2 linked regions of the Macaca mulatta genome follow. The protein of the gene in region 2 interacts with the protein of the main gene of each other region in a biochemical or structural test. Links are inferred from orthologs where the notes say so. Each region holds a gene or a part of one and is shown on either strand. Other genes may lie near its edges.

Region 1 (4,829 bases), on a different chromosome or scaffold from region 2:
CACTGGAGAAGAGGATGACCCCGATGAACAGGAAGAAGATGAGCAACCCCAGCTCCCTCATGGAGGCCTGCAAGGTCTTGCCCAGGATCTGCAGCCCCTTGGAGTGGCGGGAGAGCTTGAAGATGCGGAACACCCGGACCAGGCGGATGACTCTGAGGATGGCCAGGGACATGGCCTGCTGCCCATTCTGGCTGCCTCCTCCGCCCCCTGGCTGTTGCTCTGCCAGCTCGGTGCCCAGGGTGATGAAGTAAGGGAAGATGGCCACCACATCGATGATGTTCATGATGTTCCGGGAGAACCCTGCCTTGCTGGGGCAGGCGAAGAAGCGCACGAGCAGCTCGAAGGTGAACCAGATGACGCACGTGGTCTCCACGATGAAGAAGGGGTCGGCCAGGGTCCTGGGCAGGAGCGGTGCCACCGTAGGGCCAGAGGGCGGGGCCATGACCCCGCTGCCGTTGGTCCCAGGGGCGGGCGCGGGAGGCTGGTGGGGCGCTGGGGGGTGGCGGAGCAGCTCGCGTTCATCCCTGAACTCGGGCAGGGTCTCCAAGCAGAAGGTGATGATGGAGATGAGGATGACCAAGACCGAGACGATGGCGATGGCCCGCGCGGACCCAGAGCTCTCCGGATACTCGAAGATAAGCCACACCTGGCGCTGGAACTCGTTGCGGGGCAGGGGCTTCTCCTCTTCTTTAATGAAACCCTCATCCTCGCGGAAGCGCTCCATGGCCTCGTCCCCCAGCTGGTAGAAGCGGATCTCGTCCGCGAACACGTCCAGGGAGACGTTGACCGGCCTCCGCAGGCGGCCCCCCGACTGGTAGTAGTAGAGGATACCGTCGAAGCTGGGCCGGTTGCGGTCGAAGAAGTACTCGTTCCTCAGGGGGTCGAAGTAGCGCAGGCGCTTGGCGGGGTCGCCCAGGAGGGTGTTGGGGAACTGCGCCAGGGTGCCCAGCTGCGTCTCGAAGCGCAGCCCGGAGATGTTGATGTGGACGCGCTGGTGGTGCAGGGACGCCGTGCCCAGAGCCTGGTCCTCCACCGTGCCCAGGCCGGGGTCGCCTTCTTCCTCCTCGTCCTCGGGAGGCGGCCGTCGAGGCTGTGGCAGCTCCTTGGGCAGCGGAGGCAAGGGCCGCACTCCCGGGTCCGCGTCTCTCTGCGCGCCGCGCCCCTTTGGCGCCGGCTCCTTGGGCCCATCGCTGAGCCCAGCCGTCGGGGGACACTGGAGCTCTCCCCCTGTGGCCTGGCCGCAGCCTGCCCGGGCCTCATCGCCTCCTCTGACGGTCATGGCACCGCCGTTCTCCAGGGGCACCAGGGCGATCTCCATGGCGCGGGAGCAGCGGGCATGCTGCGCCCCAGCTGACCTGCTCCCGCGCCCCCTACTCACGCTCCCCGGGCACCTCCCGTCAGGCTCCGCTCCCGCGGTCGGCCGGCCCCTCTCTGGGGCGAGCTGGGGTTGCTGGCGCGATCCCCTCGCTTGGCCCTGACGTCAAGAAGCCGCTGCCCTGCTCTCTGCCTCTCTCTCTTCTGGCAGCCCGTTACCAAGCAGCCGAAAAGCCTCCTTCCAGCAGATGCAACCTTCAGCCGTCCCTCTCTGGCTGCGCTGCGCTTGGCCTCCACCCTCGGCGCCTCCCCCGCCTTCCCCTCTCCCTTCCCCCTCCTCCTGCTTCCCCTCCCCCTCCTCCCGCTTCGCCTCCCGGGTCTTGTGGCAGCCAGTGTCTCCCCGAAGGGCGCAGCTGGTGCCCCTAGCAAGGGAAAGGAGGGGCTGAGAGGGGTGCAGCCCAGCGGAGGGAGGGAAGGAGTGGGGAGGATGGAGGAACAGGTTGTACCGAGAGCGCTGAAATTCCCAGGGCAACCAGATGAGAATAGCTCTGGATTTCGGTTCACCTGGGAACCCGCTGGAAGCCGAGTGGACTCCAGGGGGAACGAAGTGCCTTGGGCTAAAGGGAAGAGGCTTTGAGCTGAGTCGGAGTATGAGAGACAGAGACAGGAGACACCAGTCCTTTTTATTTTGGAGAAATAACGGTATTTCTTTGGGAAGAATTACAGAAGGGAGGGGGCCCACGTAGTTTCGGACCTTGAAATACATATATCAATGGAGAAGCATCTCTCTTCTCGTCTTCCTGCAGATCCACAAAAATGTACTAGAGGGTTGGAAACTTGCAGGATTCGCATGCCCTAGCCTGTTTCCAGTATGGACCCAGTGGCAGCCCAGGCAAGCAGCCTAGTCAGTAGATGGGCTGTCTGGTCTCAACCCAGCAGAACCCCTGCACCCTCTCCAACGAATCCCATTTGCGAAAACCACACCAGGGGAGAGGAGAAGAGATTTTTACAATCCTAGTGAAGGCTAATCCTGTCTGGTGAATCTTGGAGCTAACAACTGCATCTAGGTCCATGAAGGAGGCAGAGGGTGGAGGTGGCTTATGAGAGGGAGCCAGGGAGGCTGTCCAATCTCCAAGGCTGGAGAAATCCCAAGAGTGGAATAATAACAACCAATACTTACTTCGCTGTTATTATGCACCAGCCCATTCTCAGCACTTCACAAATATTGTCTCTGCGTATTCCTACAGCAACCTGTTTTGTAAGTACTGTTATCATCACCATTTTACAAACGAAGAAACTGAGGCACAGAGAGATTGACAGACTCACCCAGGCTCACACAGTAGAAAGTGATGATGCTGGAACTCAAACTCAGACAATCAGAGTTTGGCCCTTGTCCCCTGTATTTCACTTCTCTATAGAAATGCATAATCCCTTTTCCTGATACAAGCACTCCCTCACTCCAACATCTGGCCTGAGAACTTTAGTTCCCTGCTGCAGGAGGCAGGAGGATGGCTGATATAACATATTAATCTTTCTAGGTTGGGACACTAGAGAATCTTCCCCTGCCCTGTGTCTACCGCTACACGGTTTTAGCAGGCATTGGTAACCAAGAGAAATCTGTTTCAAGGTGTGTGCCTGGAACTGCCAGACATAGTCTCCAGAAGTTTCTTGGTTTTAAATTATCATAAAGTGGCTGTGTTTTTGAATGTCTGTTTTCATTGTCTATTTTTATTTCTGTATATTGTTTCAGATTTATATGCGTGAAGTTAGGACCTCTTGTCAATGAATGTCTCTATCCACAGGGTGTGATTTGGAAACTTGGTCCTGGGTGCATGAGTGTGTGTTGCAATAGCAGGGCATAGACATACAAACTTGGGTCAAGGTTTGAGAAGTGTGTGTACATATGGCTTTTTAAGAGTTTATACGTGAAAATGGATGTGAATTTGGTGTACGTATTTTCATTGTGTGTGACTGTGCATATTGTTGGCTGTCTTTGCAGATGTGCATGAGTGAGGAAGGGCATGAATATGAAAATCAGTATGTGAAGGCATCACTGTTGAACCACAGGGCCTTGCATTCCCTTTCCCCATATCTATGCTATCCCTGCTTCATCTCCAGTGGGCTTTTTTTCTTCTCTGGCTCTGAGATTGCCAGTTAGGATCAGGTATTTTCCTGGGGAGGCTGGGACTTACTGAGCTTGTCTACTGATTGATGCATCTTGTAAGTATAAGGATGCCATATTCGTTCACATGGGTTCTCCTCGGGCTCCCCAGAGGAAAGAGTTCTCTGGAGCTTGTCTTTCAGGGGCTTTCTGGGAGATTGTTCCCTGAAGAATAAGAGTACAACATAAACAGTCCAGGAAAAGCACAAAACCCAGGCCTCCTTTAATGTGGTATTTCCTTAAATCTGTTTCCCATGCATTTGCCAGTTCTTATAGGTTTCTTGCAAAATTACCTTCAGATGCCACATGTGGTAGCCATGGAGGTATACTGCTCAAGTCTCCCTTAAAGAAAGAACTTGCTTTTCAACTGCCAGAGTGCAGTTAGCTGACCGCCTCCAGCTGTTGTCACTTTCTGGCTCTGCCTCAGCTTTAGTGCAGGGGCCAAACTCCTTCAGGGTAGCTCTCTGAGCACAGCAGGGTTACAAAGACCATTTCTACCCAGTGCAGATTTCCACTAATGGGCAATCTTTGCTCTGCATTTCCCCAACAGATTGGCCAAGACTTTGAAAGATCTGCATTGCACTCTGAGACTCTCTCTGTCCAACCCCTCTTCCTCCCCTCTTTCCTTTCACAAGTGCCAGATCAGCATCATAATCTGAATGTTTTCCCTAATGAACTCTTCTTCCTATCACTTTTATCTTTCTTTATTATCTCCCAGTAAACCTCTTATACTCCTAACTCAATCTTTGTCTTCTTCCCAGAGCACTCATTATATAACTGAAAGCTGCCTTCTATACTGTCTATCTAATCCTACGAGGTTAACTCTTTTATAGCAGTGCTTAATGTGCACCATTACCTGAGGATTTTGTTAACATGCAGACTCTGAACCAGGGTAGGGCTTAGAGTGCATTTCACACAGCACCCAAGTGATACTGATGCACCTGTCTAGAGATCACATTCCCATAAGAATAGATTTTTATCTCTATGTATGTATGTATGTATGTATGTATGTATGTATGTATGTATGTATCTAGCTATCTAGCTATTGTGTCTACGAATGGTATCTACCACAGTATATATATCTATCCATCAATCTATCTGTCTATTTACCTACCTACCTTTCTAGCTAGCTACTCTCTAGTTACCTATTTATCAATTTATAAGTGATAGGTAGGTAGATGAGAGAGAGGGAGGGAGCTAACAGAGAGATAGAGATATTTTGAAATCAAGAAACATTTTTTATTGATCTTTGATTTTCTTTACAACACCAAACATGGTGCCATGTCCATATTATGTGTTTTGCTAAATATGTACTGAACGCAGTTGAACTGGGGGAAAGAAATTCAGCTGTTGG
Region 2 (3,187 bases):
TGAGAACACACCACTGCACTCCCACCTGGGTGACAGAGCAAGACCCCATCTCAAAAAAAAAAAAAAAAAAAAAAAAAAAAATTCATCATTGCTGTTGTCGTCGTGATTTTAGTAGGGAGTCATAACCACCACCCACTCACATCCAGTCAGCACATCGCAGTTTCCGAAGCACCAAACACATTCCACTCCACCTCCCTTCTGCAGGAAAGGGTCCTGAAGCTCTCTAAGATGGCTTTAAAATGGATCCACAAATTATTTGGCATTCCTTTCTTCAAGAAGTGGAGCCTAATTCCCCTCCCCTTGAGTGTGGACTGAACTTAGTGACTCACTTCTAACAAATAGAACAAAGCAGAAGCAACAGTGTATGGCTTCCAAGACTGGGTCGTAAGAGGCACTGTTTGTGGCTTCCTCTTTGCTCTCTCTTCTGTCTCATTGTGGGGAAAGCCAACTGCCATATCATGAGAAAACTCAAGCAGCAGCTCTAGGGTTAGCCCTACATGGTGAGGAACGGAGACCTCCTACCCACAGCCATGTGCATGAGCAGTATTGGAATGGATCCTCCAGCCCCAGTCAAGCCTTCAGATGACTGCAGCCCTAGCTGACAATTTGACTGCAACCTCATGAACGACCCTGAGACAAGAACAGCCCAGCTTAGCCCCTCTCAAATCCCTGACCCACAGAACCTAAGAGATAATGAATATTTGTCATTTTAAGCTGTAAAAATGTGGGGTAATTTGTCACACAACAATAGATAACCAATACACTCTCTTTGGCCCATGTGGTAAAAGTCTGTTCTTCTCCAGGGAAAGGTGCCCCAGTCCTTGGTCTGGTCCATCTTGGGACTGCAGGGGCCACCCCAGGACCCAAAGGCCAAGGCACAGACCACAGACACTGGGCCAGGCTGCCTGTGTCTCACAGGCTGTTTATTTATCCAAGAGTAAGGAGGAGAGAGAGGATGAAGAGAAAAACCAGACTCCCCAAGGTGGCAGGGCTGAGGGGAAAAACAAACAAAGTCTCCTCTTGTTTCTCTTGCCGCTGACCCCAGGGGACTCCAGCTTCAGATGGGACCTCTAGGGGTGGCTTAGGGGCCTCGAGGAGGCCTGGCAGCTCAGCTGTTGGCTGGGGTCAGGATCCGCACAGGGGCAGGTCCCAGACTCGGAATGGCTTCTGTGTACACAAAATATCTCTCCGCAAAAGGCACTGGTGGTGGGGGGCAGCAGGAGGGCCACCCCATCACAGGCAGAGTCCACTCTGTCCTGGGTCTGGGTCCTGGGCCCCGGGCCCCAAGACCAATCCAGTCTCCCTCAGGGGTGGGGTCTCAGAGGCCCTTGTTCCTCTCCTCTCCCTTCCCTCAGCCCAGGGGTGAGCAGGCAGTCGGTGGAGGCCCAGCTCAGGCCATGTCATGGATACCCCTCTTCAGGGCTAGCGCATCCGGTGACTTCTAGGCCAATAGCCCAAGGCGGGTGACTTTGGCCGAGAGGAAGGAGTGGATGATGAAGACTATGGTTTTGGGACACGAGTGCAGGTCCAGCTGCTGCAGGGTGGATGGAGAGAAGAGTCAGGGCCCTGGCCAGCCTGGCCTCCAAGAGTGCATACCCCCTCCTCCCCAGGGTGCAAAGGCAGCCCCTCACTCACGATCTCGCCTTCAGCACCTCCAAAGTCCAGGAAAAGGAGACTGGCACCATCATCTGAAGACATCTGCAGCTTCTCAAAGGGCTGTCGCAGGAGCACAGCTCGGGCTGCACCTGGCTCAGCCGCCCACAGTGTGAAGCCCTTGTCGATGTGCACAGACAGGCTGCAGGGACGCCCGTTCCATGTGCAGGCTGCAGGGAGGGCACATAGGTACAGGCACAGCTGGCACCTCAGACACTACACCCCAACCTCCAACCCCCACCGCAGCTTACAAAGTGGGGCCTGAATGCCTCCAGGGACGGGAGGCTCACTGTTTGTCGTGGCACCTGTACACCCACCCTGCAGAGAGTCATCACCCCCACCCTCAGAGGACCTACACCCACTTCCAGTCCACAAGTAGAAAGGGGGAGCTTAAAATCTGCCATGGACTGGAGGCTCACTCCTGATAAAGGCATCATCAGATCGACCAAGCACCGCCCTTGGAGACCTGCAGAGTTGCCCAGCTAAATTTAAATTTCAGATAAACAATGACTAATTTGGGCATACTTCTATGAAAAAAGTATTCATTGTTAACCTGAAATTCAAATGAGGCTGGGTGTCCTGTATTTCCTCTGGCAACCCTACCCCAAGTGCCATCTCTCACATCCTCACCAGCAGATTGACAAAGCTGGAGCAAGAAAACCCCAGGGAGAAGAGTCTCTGCCTGCCAGGGCACCTGCACATCCAAAACAGAGGGCCCAAACCCAACTTCCTTTTTTTTTTTTTTTTTGGAGAAACAGTCTCACTCTGTTACCCAGGCTGGAGTGCAGCGGGCACAATCTCAGCTCACCACAACCTCCACCTCCCGGGTTCAAGCGATTCTTGTTCCTCAGCTTCCTGCATAGCTGGGACTACAGGCACCTACTACCATGCCCAGCTAATTTTTGTATTATTATTATTATTATTTTTTTTTTTGAGACAGAGTCTTGCTCTGTTGCCCAGGCTGGAGTGCAGTGGTGCAATCTGGGACCACTACAACCTCCGCCTCCCAGATTCAAGCAATTCTTCTGCCTCAGCCTCCTGAGTAGCTGGGACTACGGGCACCCGCCACCACACCTGGCTAATTTTTGTATTTTTAGTAGAGACAGGGTTTCACCATTTTGGCCAGGCTGGTCTTCAACTGCTGACCTCAAGTGATCCACCTGCCTCATCCTCGCAAAATGTTGGGATTACAGGCATGAGGCACCACACCCAGCCAATTTTTGTATTATTAGTAGAGATGGGGTTTTGCCATGTTGGCCAGGCTGGTCTCAAACTTCTGACCTCAGGTGATCCACCCACCTTAACCTCCAAACCCCATTTTCTGTCCCCTCCTGAAGTGCCCTAAAGAAGGAAGCTTGAATGCCCCTGGGGATAAGAGGCTCATTACCAGAGGGACACTCCCAGATCCTCCCAGCACACCTGTAGACACCTCCTGCACACCCTCGGCGGCCCGGTGACAGCCATCCACCAGCTGGCGGGTCCAGGCAGCCAGCTCCTGCGGTGACTCCACGCTGAACAGGTGAGTGTCCACACC

What was found. The genes of interacting proteins can lie anywhere in the genome.
Region 1: the proteins of SNTA1 (region 2) and KCNA5 interact in a test that uses a peptide from one of them, tested with the Homo sapiens proteins (2 studies listed by BioGRID and IntAct). The link is inferred for Macaca mulatta from reciprocal best matches to the Homo sapiens genes SNTA1 and KCNA5.

The regions. Positions count from the first base shown.
Region 1 is NC_133416.1:5,946,686-5,951,514, reverse strand, and holds the start of KCNA5 (potassium voltage-gated channel subfamily A member 5), read right to left. Parts: upstream 3,015-4,829; 5' UTR 1,319-3,014; coding exon 1-1,318. UniProt on the Homo sapiens protein: Voltage-gated potassium channel that mediates transmembrane potassium transport in excitable membranes. Forms tetrameric potassium-selective channels through which potassium ions pass in accordance with their electrochemical gradient.
Region 2 is NC_133415.1:86,164,090-86,167,276, forward strand, and holds the end of SNTA1 (alpha-1-syntrophin), read right to left. Parts: coding exon 3,073-3,187; coding exon of another isoform or gene 3,041-3,072; intron 1,824-3,040; coding exon 1,636-1,823; intron 1,535-1,635; coding exon 1,442-1,534; 3' UTR 892-1,441; downstream 1-891. UniProt on the Homo sapiens protein: Adapter protein that binds to and probably organizes the subcellular localization of a variety of membrane proteins. May link various receptors to the actin cytoskeleton and the extracellular matrix via the dystrophin glycoprotein complex.